2 linked regions of the Sus scrofa genome follow. The protein of the gene in region 1 purifies or fractionates together with the protein of each later gene. This does not show direct contact. Links are inferred from orthologs where the notes say so. Each region holds a gene or a part of one and is shown in the gene's direction. Other genes may lie near its edges.

What was found.
Region 2: the proteins of KIAA0368 (region 1) and PSMD1 purify together in Homo sapiens (affinity purification with western blotting; 3 studies listed by BioGRID, with this or other methods). This does not show direct contact. The link is inferred for Sus scrofa from reciprocal best matches to the Homo sapiens genes ECPAS and PSMD1.

Annotation. Positions count from the first base shown.
Region 1 is NC_010443.5:252,299,182-252,303,003, reverse strand, and holds part of KIAA0368 (proteasome-associated protein ECM29 homolog), read left to right. Parts: intron 1-1,127; coding exon 1,128-1,258; intron 1,259-3,822. UniProt on the Homo sapiens protein: Adapter/scaffolding protein that binds to the 26S proteasome, motor proteins and other compartment specific proteins. May couple the proteasome to different compartments including endosome, endoplasmic reticulum and centrosome.
Region 2 is NC_010457.5:131,831,417-131,835,238, forward strand, and holds part of PSMD1 (26S proteasome non-ATPase regulatory subunit 1), read left to right. Parts: intron 1-980; coding exon 981-1,069; intron 1,070-1,527; coding exon 1,528-1,606; intron 1,607-2,078; coding exon 2,079-2,252; intron 2,253-3,822.

The DNA of each region.
Region 1 (3,822 bases):
CTGTGCTCTATAGCAGGATCTCATTGCTTATCCACTCCAAATGCAATAGTTTGCATCTACTAACCCCAAACTGCCAGTCCATCCCACTCCCTCCTCCTTCCCCTTGGCACACAAATCTGTTCTCTATGTCCATGAGTTTGTTTCTTTTGTGTAGATAGGTTCATTTGTGCCATATATTAGATTCCAGATATAAGTGGTATCACATGGTATTTGTCTTTCTCTGTTTTTAAATAAATTTTAAAGTTGAGGTATAATAGAACCAGTAGAAATTATGGTAGTGTAGAGCTTGTGAATTTTTATAAATGTATGTATCTGTGTAATCATCACTCAGATTGAGATATAGGACATTTCCAACCCCTTTGGAAACTCCCTATTCATTACTGATACTTTTTGTAAGAATCTTTAAAAAACAAACATAACCAAAATACCATTATAACACCTACAAAATTAACAGTAATTTAAAAAAATCAAATATTCAGTCATATGCCTTTGGTAGGTTCCCCTCTCACCTCTGTCGCATCTCCTCCCCTGCAGTGTATTGGTTGGGTTTCTTATTCTCCAGTTTATCACAACCTGGCTTTTGCCGAGAGCATTCCCATGGTGCTATCATGTTTCTCTCTCAGTGGCTTTCTTGGTGGAAATTTGTCTCACGGTCTGGTTAGCTAATCCCAGCGGTAGTGGGCAGTGATTCTGCCTTTGGAGAACTTCATTAGTAAGATGGTTTCACCAAAGATGTCTTATCCCTGGTATCTGATTATAGTTCTCCTGCCTCGCTCTGCTAGTGAGGTCTAAAAGATTTCTTCAAAACCTTGTGTCTTTCCTAGTGTCCAAATCCTTTAGAAAAGCCAAGTAACTTCGTATGTAGGAGAGAGATTTGCTGTTCTTGGCTTTGTTTTCTTCTCGTCTAGAGATTCAATGACCAGGACAAGTGTTAAGACAGTATAATTAGCTAGTAAACCTTTTTAGTGTTGTTTCAGAGCTGTGCCAAAAGCATCTGCATACAGAGCTAGCTTTAAAGTTCTGACTGAAGGATCTGCAGTATAGAAAAAAGGATTAAACTGTAAAAGTAATTAGTGTTGGTTGTGTTTGATCTGCTAAATTCTCCTTTTTTTCCTTCTGTATTTTAGATCAGCTTGAACGGGTCTTTTTACGACTTGGCCATGCTGAAACAGATGAACAGTTACAGAATATTATATCTAAATTCCTTCCTCCTGTTTTGCTCAAGCTGTCCAGCACCCAAGAAGGAGTACGCAAAAAGGTAAGCATGCTGGGACAGTTGGGGGAATTAAATGGTGAATACGTGGATATATTTTATCAAGTGAATTTTCTCTTCCCATTATCAAAATATAGTTTCACTGGTCCCAGTTTTAAGGCCTTTAAAAATGGAGAGTAAGTCCAGGACCAGCTCCCATGATTTAAAAGTACCTTGTATGCTTAGCACAGCTGCATTTAGCACCAACTGTACACTTGGCACCAGTATTAGATGATGTAATTGGGATAATTATTCTGGAATATATGGAGGCTTGTTCGTGCCCTTGATTCCAATACGAAAGTCAAGTGGTAATGGGGCAAGAATATTCTTTAATCATTGGCCGACTGTGAATATAAATTTAGTTAAAAGTAAGCAAAAGAAATGTTTTTAAAAGCAAGCTACTGTTGTACAGCTCTTGTTTTAGGTTTTTGTAAAGTACTGTTACTAAAAGTTGGATAATTGTTACATCAAGATTTTCTTTTCTAACCTAATGTTCTCCATGGAACATTTGGCTCCTTCATTTTTAAAATGGTTCATAGTCTTCCACTGTATTTATACTAGACCTTGGGGTTTTTGAGCTGTCATCAAGTTTCTTCCCTTGGGCCACACTAATTGACTGGCAGTGGCTTCCTGGAGGTCTGCCCGGAGAGGGATTCTGAGGCCCGATTTGAGTTCAGTGGAAAAAGAGTATCTTAGAAGAGTGTCTGTTATGTTTGTAGGAAGGAATAGGACATTCTTGTCATACATATGACATGCCTGCTGTTAATACTGCTTTGCTGAGATAGGTATGTGTTCAATGATGTCATTCTCCCATTTAAAACTCTTCTATTGCCTTCTCTTACCCTTGGAATAGCGAGGTATAAAAGGCCCTTCATGAGTTGGTCTCTGTTTTCTTATTTAGCTTCATCAATCTCATCATTCATTTGATGAATATTTACTGAGTACCTTGTATATGCCAGGAGTTAAGGATATGTTGGTGAAGAAAGAAACATCTACTTGGGGAGATAAGTATTAACAATTAGGCAAACAGTGAACAGTTATAATTATAAATGCTAATAGGGAAAAGAATTCTATGAAAGAATATGTACAGGGACTTGATTTAAATTAAGTGTGGGATGTAAGGGAGGCCTCTCTGGTTGTAGGAAGTAGTCAGGCAGAGAGATGGGGAGACCACTCGAGGCAGAGAAGGCCTTGTGCAGAGACGCTGAGTTGCAGTGGAGTGTAAAGCCTTCAGGGAGCTAAAGAAGGCCACAGTGATGCAGCCAGTGCACCAGAGGACGGATGACCGGAGGTCAAGCCTGGGGATTCCAGTGGCAGCCACTTGAAGGGGTATTGGGGGTAATGACACAGTCACTCTGGCTGCTGGGTGGAGGAAGACTTGGAGTGGAGACCAGGAGAGTAGACAGAAGGAAGTTTTTGCATTAGTTCAGATTTCTAGGCTATTTTCAGTAGATGGTTCCCCCCCCCCTTTTTTTTTTAACTTATTAGGGTTTTAGTATTTCCTTGTATTTTATCTTTTTGTAGAAAAGCATTCATCTCTAACCATCTGCTTTAAATGTTTGGTAATATAATTTACTTCTATCATATTTTTCTTTTATAATGATTTTTATTTTTTCCATTATAGCTGATTTACAGTGTTCTGTCAATTTTCTACTGCACAGCAAGATGACCTGGTCACACATACACTATCATAGTATTCTTAATATTCCATTAACCATTCAAGTGGAGAAATTCTGTTGTTTCTACTTTATTATTACTGCCAAAGGTTTACTTTTTTTATGGGGCATTTTAAAAGGAAAAACAGCTTTTAGATTAATTTTCCTTTTTAAAGTGTATTTTTCTTTCATTTGTATCCAAATTATTTCTTTTTTTTTTTTTTTTTTTTTTGTCTTTTTGCTATTTCTGGGGCCGCTCCTGCGGCATATGGAGATTCCCAGGCTAGGGGTTGAATCGGAGCTGTAGCCACCAGCCTACGCCAGAGCCACAGCAACGTGGGATCCGAGCCGCGTCTGCAACCTACACCACAGCTCACGGCAACGCCGGATCGTTAACCCACTGAGCAAGGGCAGGGACCGAACCCGCAACCTCATGGTTCCTAGTCGGATTCGTTAACCACTGTGCCACGATGGGAACTCCCAAATTATTTCTTATCTTGTTTTCCTTTGATAGGTTTTTCTCATGCAGGATTTCCATTTGTATAAAAACACATAGAGAACAGACTTGTGGTTGCCAAGGGGGAGGGGGAGGGAGTGGGATGGACTGGGAGTTTGGGGTTAGTAGATGCAAACTATTACATTTAGAATGGATAAACAGTAAGGTTCTGTATAGCACAGGGAAATATATCCAGTCTCCTGGGATAGACCATGATGAAAAATAAAATTTAAAAAAATGTATAAATATGTATGACTGAGTCACTTTGCTGTACAGCAGAAATCACATTATAAATCAACTATGTTTAATAAAAAATTTCTGTTCGTATAGTAATGGTAGAGATTATTATGTGTCAAGAAAAGTGCTAATCACTTAAAAATCTTCCTAAGGTTATATGAGGTGTAGAATATTTTCTCATT
Region 2 (3,822 bases), on another chromosome or scaffold:
AAGTTAGAGGAGTTCCCTTTGTGGCTCAGTGGAAACAAACCTGACTGGGATCCATGAGGATGTAGGTTTGATTCCTGGCCTCGTTCAGTGGGTTAAGGATCAAATGTTGCTGTGAGCTGTGGTATATAGGTTGTAGACTTGATCAAGTTGCTGTGGCTGTGGTGTAGGCTGGCAGCTGTAGCCTGGGAAACTCCATATGCTGCAGATTTGGCTCTAAAAAGCAAAAAAAAGAAAGAAAAATTAAAGTTCTTGCTATGGTGCAGTGGATTAAGGATCTGGTGTTGCTGCAGCTGTGGCATAGCTTGCAGCTGCAGCTCACATTTGATCCCTGGCCTGGGAACTTCCATATGCTGCAGGTGGGGCCAATTTTTTTTTGGCTGCACCCGCAGCATATGGAGGTTCCCAGGCTAGGGGTCTTATTGGAACTATAGCTGCCAGTCTTCGGCCCAGCCACAGCAACACCAGATCTGAGCTGCATCTGCGACCTTACCACAGCTCACAGCAACGCTGGATCCTTAACCCACCAAGCGAGGCCAGGGACCAAACCCATAACCTCATGGTTCCTAGTCAGATTCGTTTCTGCTGCACCATGACGGGAACTCCCCAAATTTTTTAAACATAAAAAATAAAATAAGTTACTTTGGTGACTACCAGAGATACAGTGCCAGAAGAGGTGCAGCATTGCTTCTCAGGTTACTCCACCATTTTGGAGACCTTGGCCAAGACACTGAAGAGAACTGCCAAAAAATAGAAAATCTACAAACCCCAAATTAAGACAACAATTAGAACTTTGACTTGCTTGTTTTTATAAACTAGCTATTTAAGCTTTATAAAGAGATATCCAAGATTCATATTTTAAGTATCAGTTCAGTTTATTCATGTTTTTGTCACAAAACAGGGGTTCTTACTGTATGTTCACATGCAAGCCTACATATGTATGAGTATTTTGCCAATGATAAAAAGCTGTATTTGTTTTTTAGGATGCAGTAAGGAATTCTGTATGTCACACAGCTACCGTTATAGCAAACTCTTTTATGCACTGTGGGACTACCAGTGACCAGTTTCTTAGGTAAATATGCTTGTAGGTTCCCATTTTGGCTTAAGAGTGTCTTTAACAGAGGCTCTGTTGAAATTGTTACATGGATGTGGGGAATTCCCTACCTGCCAGTCCTGAATTCTGAATTCTCTTTTTACCATTTTATATAGTTTTAAATTATATATGCTTCCTTGTTTTGAGCTAAAATTAATTTTCCTTATTAGTTACCTTGAATGTAGGTTTTTGAACGAAATGTGTTAAGCTCAGAAATTTGATACAATGGTATTACATACAATGTATTAATAAAAAAATGTCCTCAAATGTATTAAGAGCAACTTAGAAAGTAAAATAGAATTATCAGTAACTTGAGATCCATAAAGTAAAATGATTTATAACAGCTTAAGGCAAAATTTTAATTCCTTTACTTTAGTGTTTTAAAAAGCTTTATGGAGTGCATTTCAATAGTATTGCTAAAATTTCTTTTCTTACAGAGATAACTTGGAATGGTTAGCCAGAGCCACTAACTGGGCAAAATTTACAGCCACAGCCAGTTTGGGTGTAATTCATAAGGTAATGTATACTGATCAGGGTGAGCATACATCCAAACAGAAGCAATTTTTTTGGAGTAAAGTTTACTATAATTCATTGACAAGGACATTTTGTTCAATTGGATTAGTCTTCTTACAGGAAGGATAAAGTAAATAAGAAATGTGTGTTTGTTTGTTATAAAAAGTGGAAATCTTTTTCCTTTGAAGACTCTAAACTATTTCCCAGAAGATGAACTGGAATAAGTTATTTGCCTAGTCTAAGATGAATTTGGGGAAATGTTGTGAAACACAGGGCCTGAAAATTGAAGCATTTGCTTTTAACCGAGATGTGCCTGGATCTCCTAAAAGCTGTCTTCTCATTAGAGTGGTAAAGTTGCTTAGGAGAGAGCCCCACTTCCTCTTCTCTGGAGAAAAGACAGTGATCATGGAAAATGTCATGCTTTTTTTCTCTCACATACTCTTACTGACACCTTTGCGATGGCTCAAATTTACAGGGTCATGAGAAGGAAGCATTACAGTTAATGGCAACGTATCTTCCCAAGGACACCTCTCCAGGATCAGCCTATCAGGAAGGTGGAGGCCTCTATGCACTAGGTCTCATCCATGCCAATCATGGTGGGGATATAATTGACTATCTGCTTAACCAGCTCAAGAATGCGAGCAATGATGTAAGTCTTAGAATGAAAAACTAAATTCCCATTACTTAAGAGTCCAGGGAAACATTATATTTGCCAGTTGTTTTAGTGAATAGAAATTTTGTAGGATTCCCAAACCGGTACTGTTCTCATGGAATCTTTTCTTATAAAGATAATTTCCTTTCCTTCTTTATATGCTAAAATTTTGCTTATCGGTCCTTTAAACCTTGTCTCTGACAAGCAAAATAAAGTACCAGATACTTATAAAATACATGTTGTACTCCCATACGCTAGTCTTGTAGTGTTATATAAGTGATCAGTGATTGTTTAGTCTAATTCTATTTTATAGGAAGCTAAAGCCCAAAGAAATTATATGTACTTGCTCAAGAATCAGAATTTTTGCTTGTTTGCTCTTTGATGAGGTTTTTTTTTTCTTTTTTTATTTACAGCCTCGCCTGCGGCATAGGGAAGTTCCTGGGCTAGGGATCGAATTGGATCCACAGCCACTGCAACACCAGATTTGAGCTGCAGCTTGTAGCAAGCTGGATCCTTAACCTGCTGAGTGAGGCCAGGGATTGAACCTGCATCCTTACCGACACTATATCAGGTTCTTGACCCACTGAGCCACAATGGGAACACCTGGTGATTTTTTTTTAAGTGTAATTGGTTTGAAAAAAAACTTATTAAGCAGCCCTGTTCTTATTTTAAGGAACCTTGAAAGAGGATTTTTAACTTTTATGTTAGTTTCTTTTAGAAGGCTGTTTAGAGAGTAGCTGAGTGAGCCAGAAAACTGTCCTATTTAGTGAAAAGATTGAGGCCAGTAGGATGGTCTCTCTGGGCTAATAAGCCCCCTATCCACAAATCCTATGTATCTTTCACATATCTCTACCTCATTTCCACTGGTCTCAGGTAAAAATTTTCTTATCAGATAAAGTTTTTGGTTACCAGCAATAAAAACCTCTGCTGACCAACTTAAACAAGGAGTTTATTGGAAGTAGCTTGCATAGGAAAAGCTGATGAACCAGCTCACAGAGATTAAGAGTCAGGGCAGTTCTAGGGATCTAGATAGTAGGAACTAATGGGGTCATCTCTTCAGGGCTCTTCTGTCAGAAGGAATGAACTTCAGTCATTCCACTTAAGAAAGCTTAAAATTCCAGAGGAGCGTCTGATCGGCCTGTCAAGTTACAGGCGTACACTTTGGCTAGGGGAAGGTGGGAGCTTTGCTTTGAATGACAATCCTACCAAGACTCTGACCAGTGGGAAGACTATTCCCCAAGCAGGATTGGGGTGCTCTCGCCAATAAAAGGATACTGTTATTCAAAAATAACAGATCTTCACAAAAATATTCTTCAAATAAAGACTAAGTTTCGCTTTTGACACCATTTTCTCCCACTTTCTTCATAACCATGTTCCATTAAATACCTTTTTCTCTCTGTCTTCAGTCTCCTTCTGTGCTGCCTCCCTGAGTCCATAAGCCTATCAGGTCTCACCTATCCTAAAAGAATCTTTCCTCGCCACTTGATTCTCCCTTTTTAATCATTATCATCTTTTTCCTCCTCTTCTGATGTAAACTTATTGGAAGAGAACTGTATTGTCTCTCTCC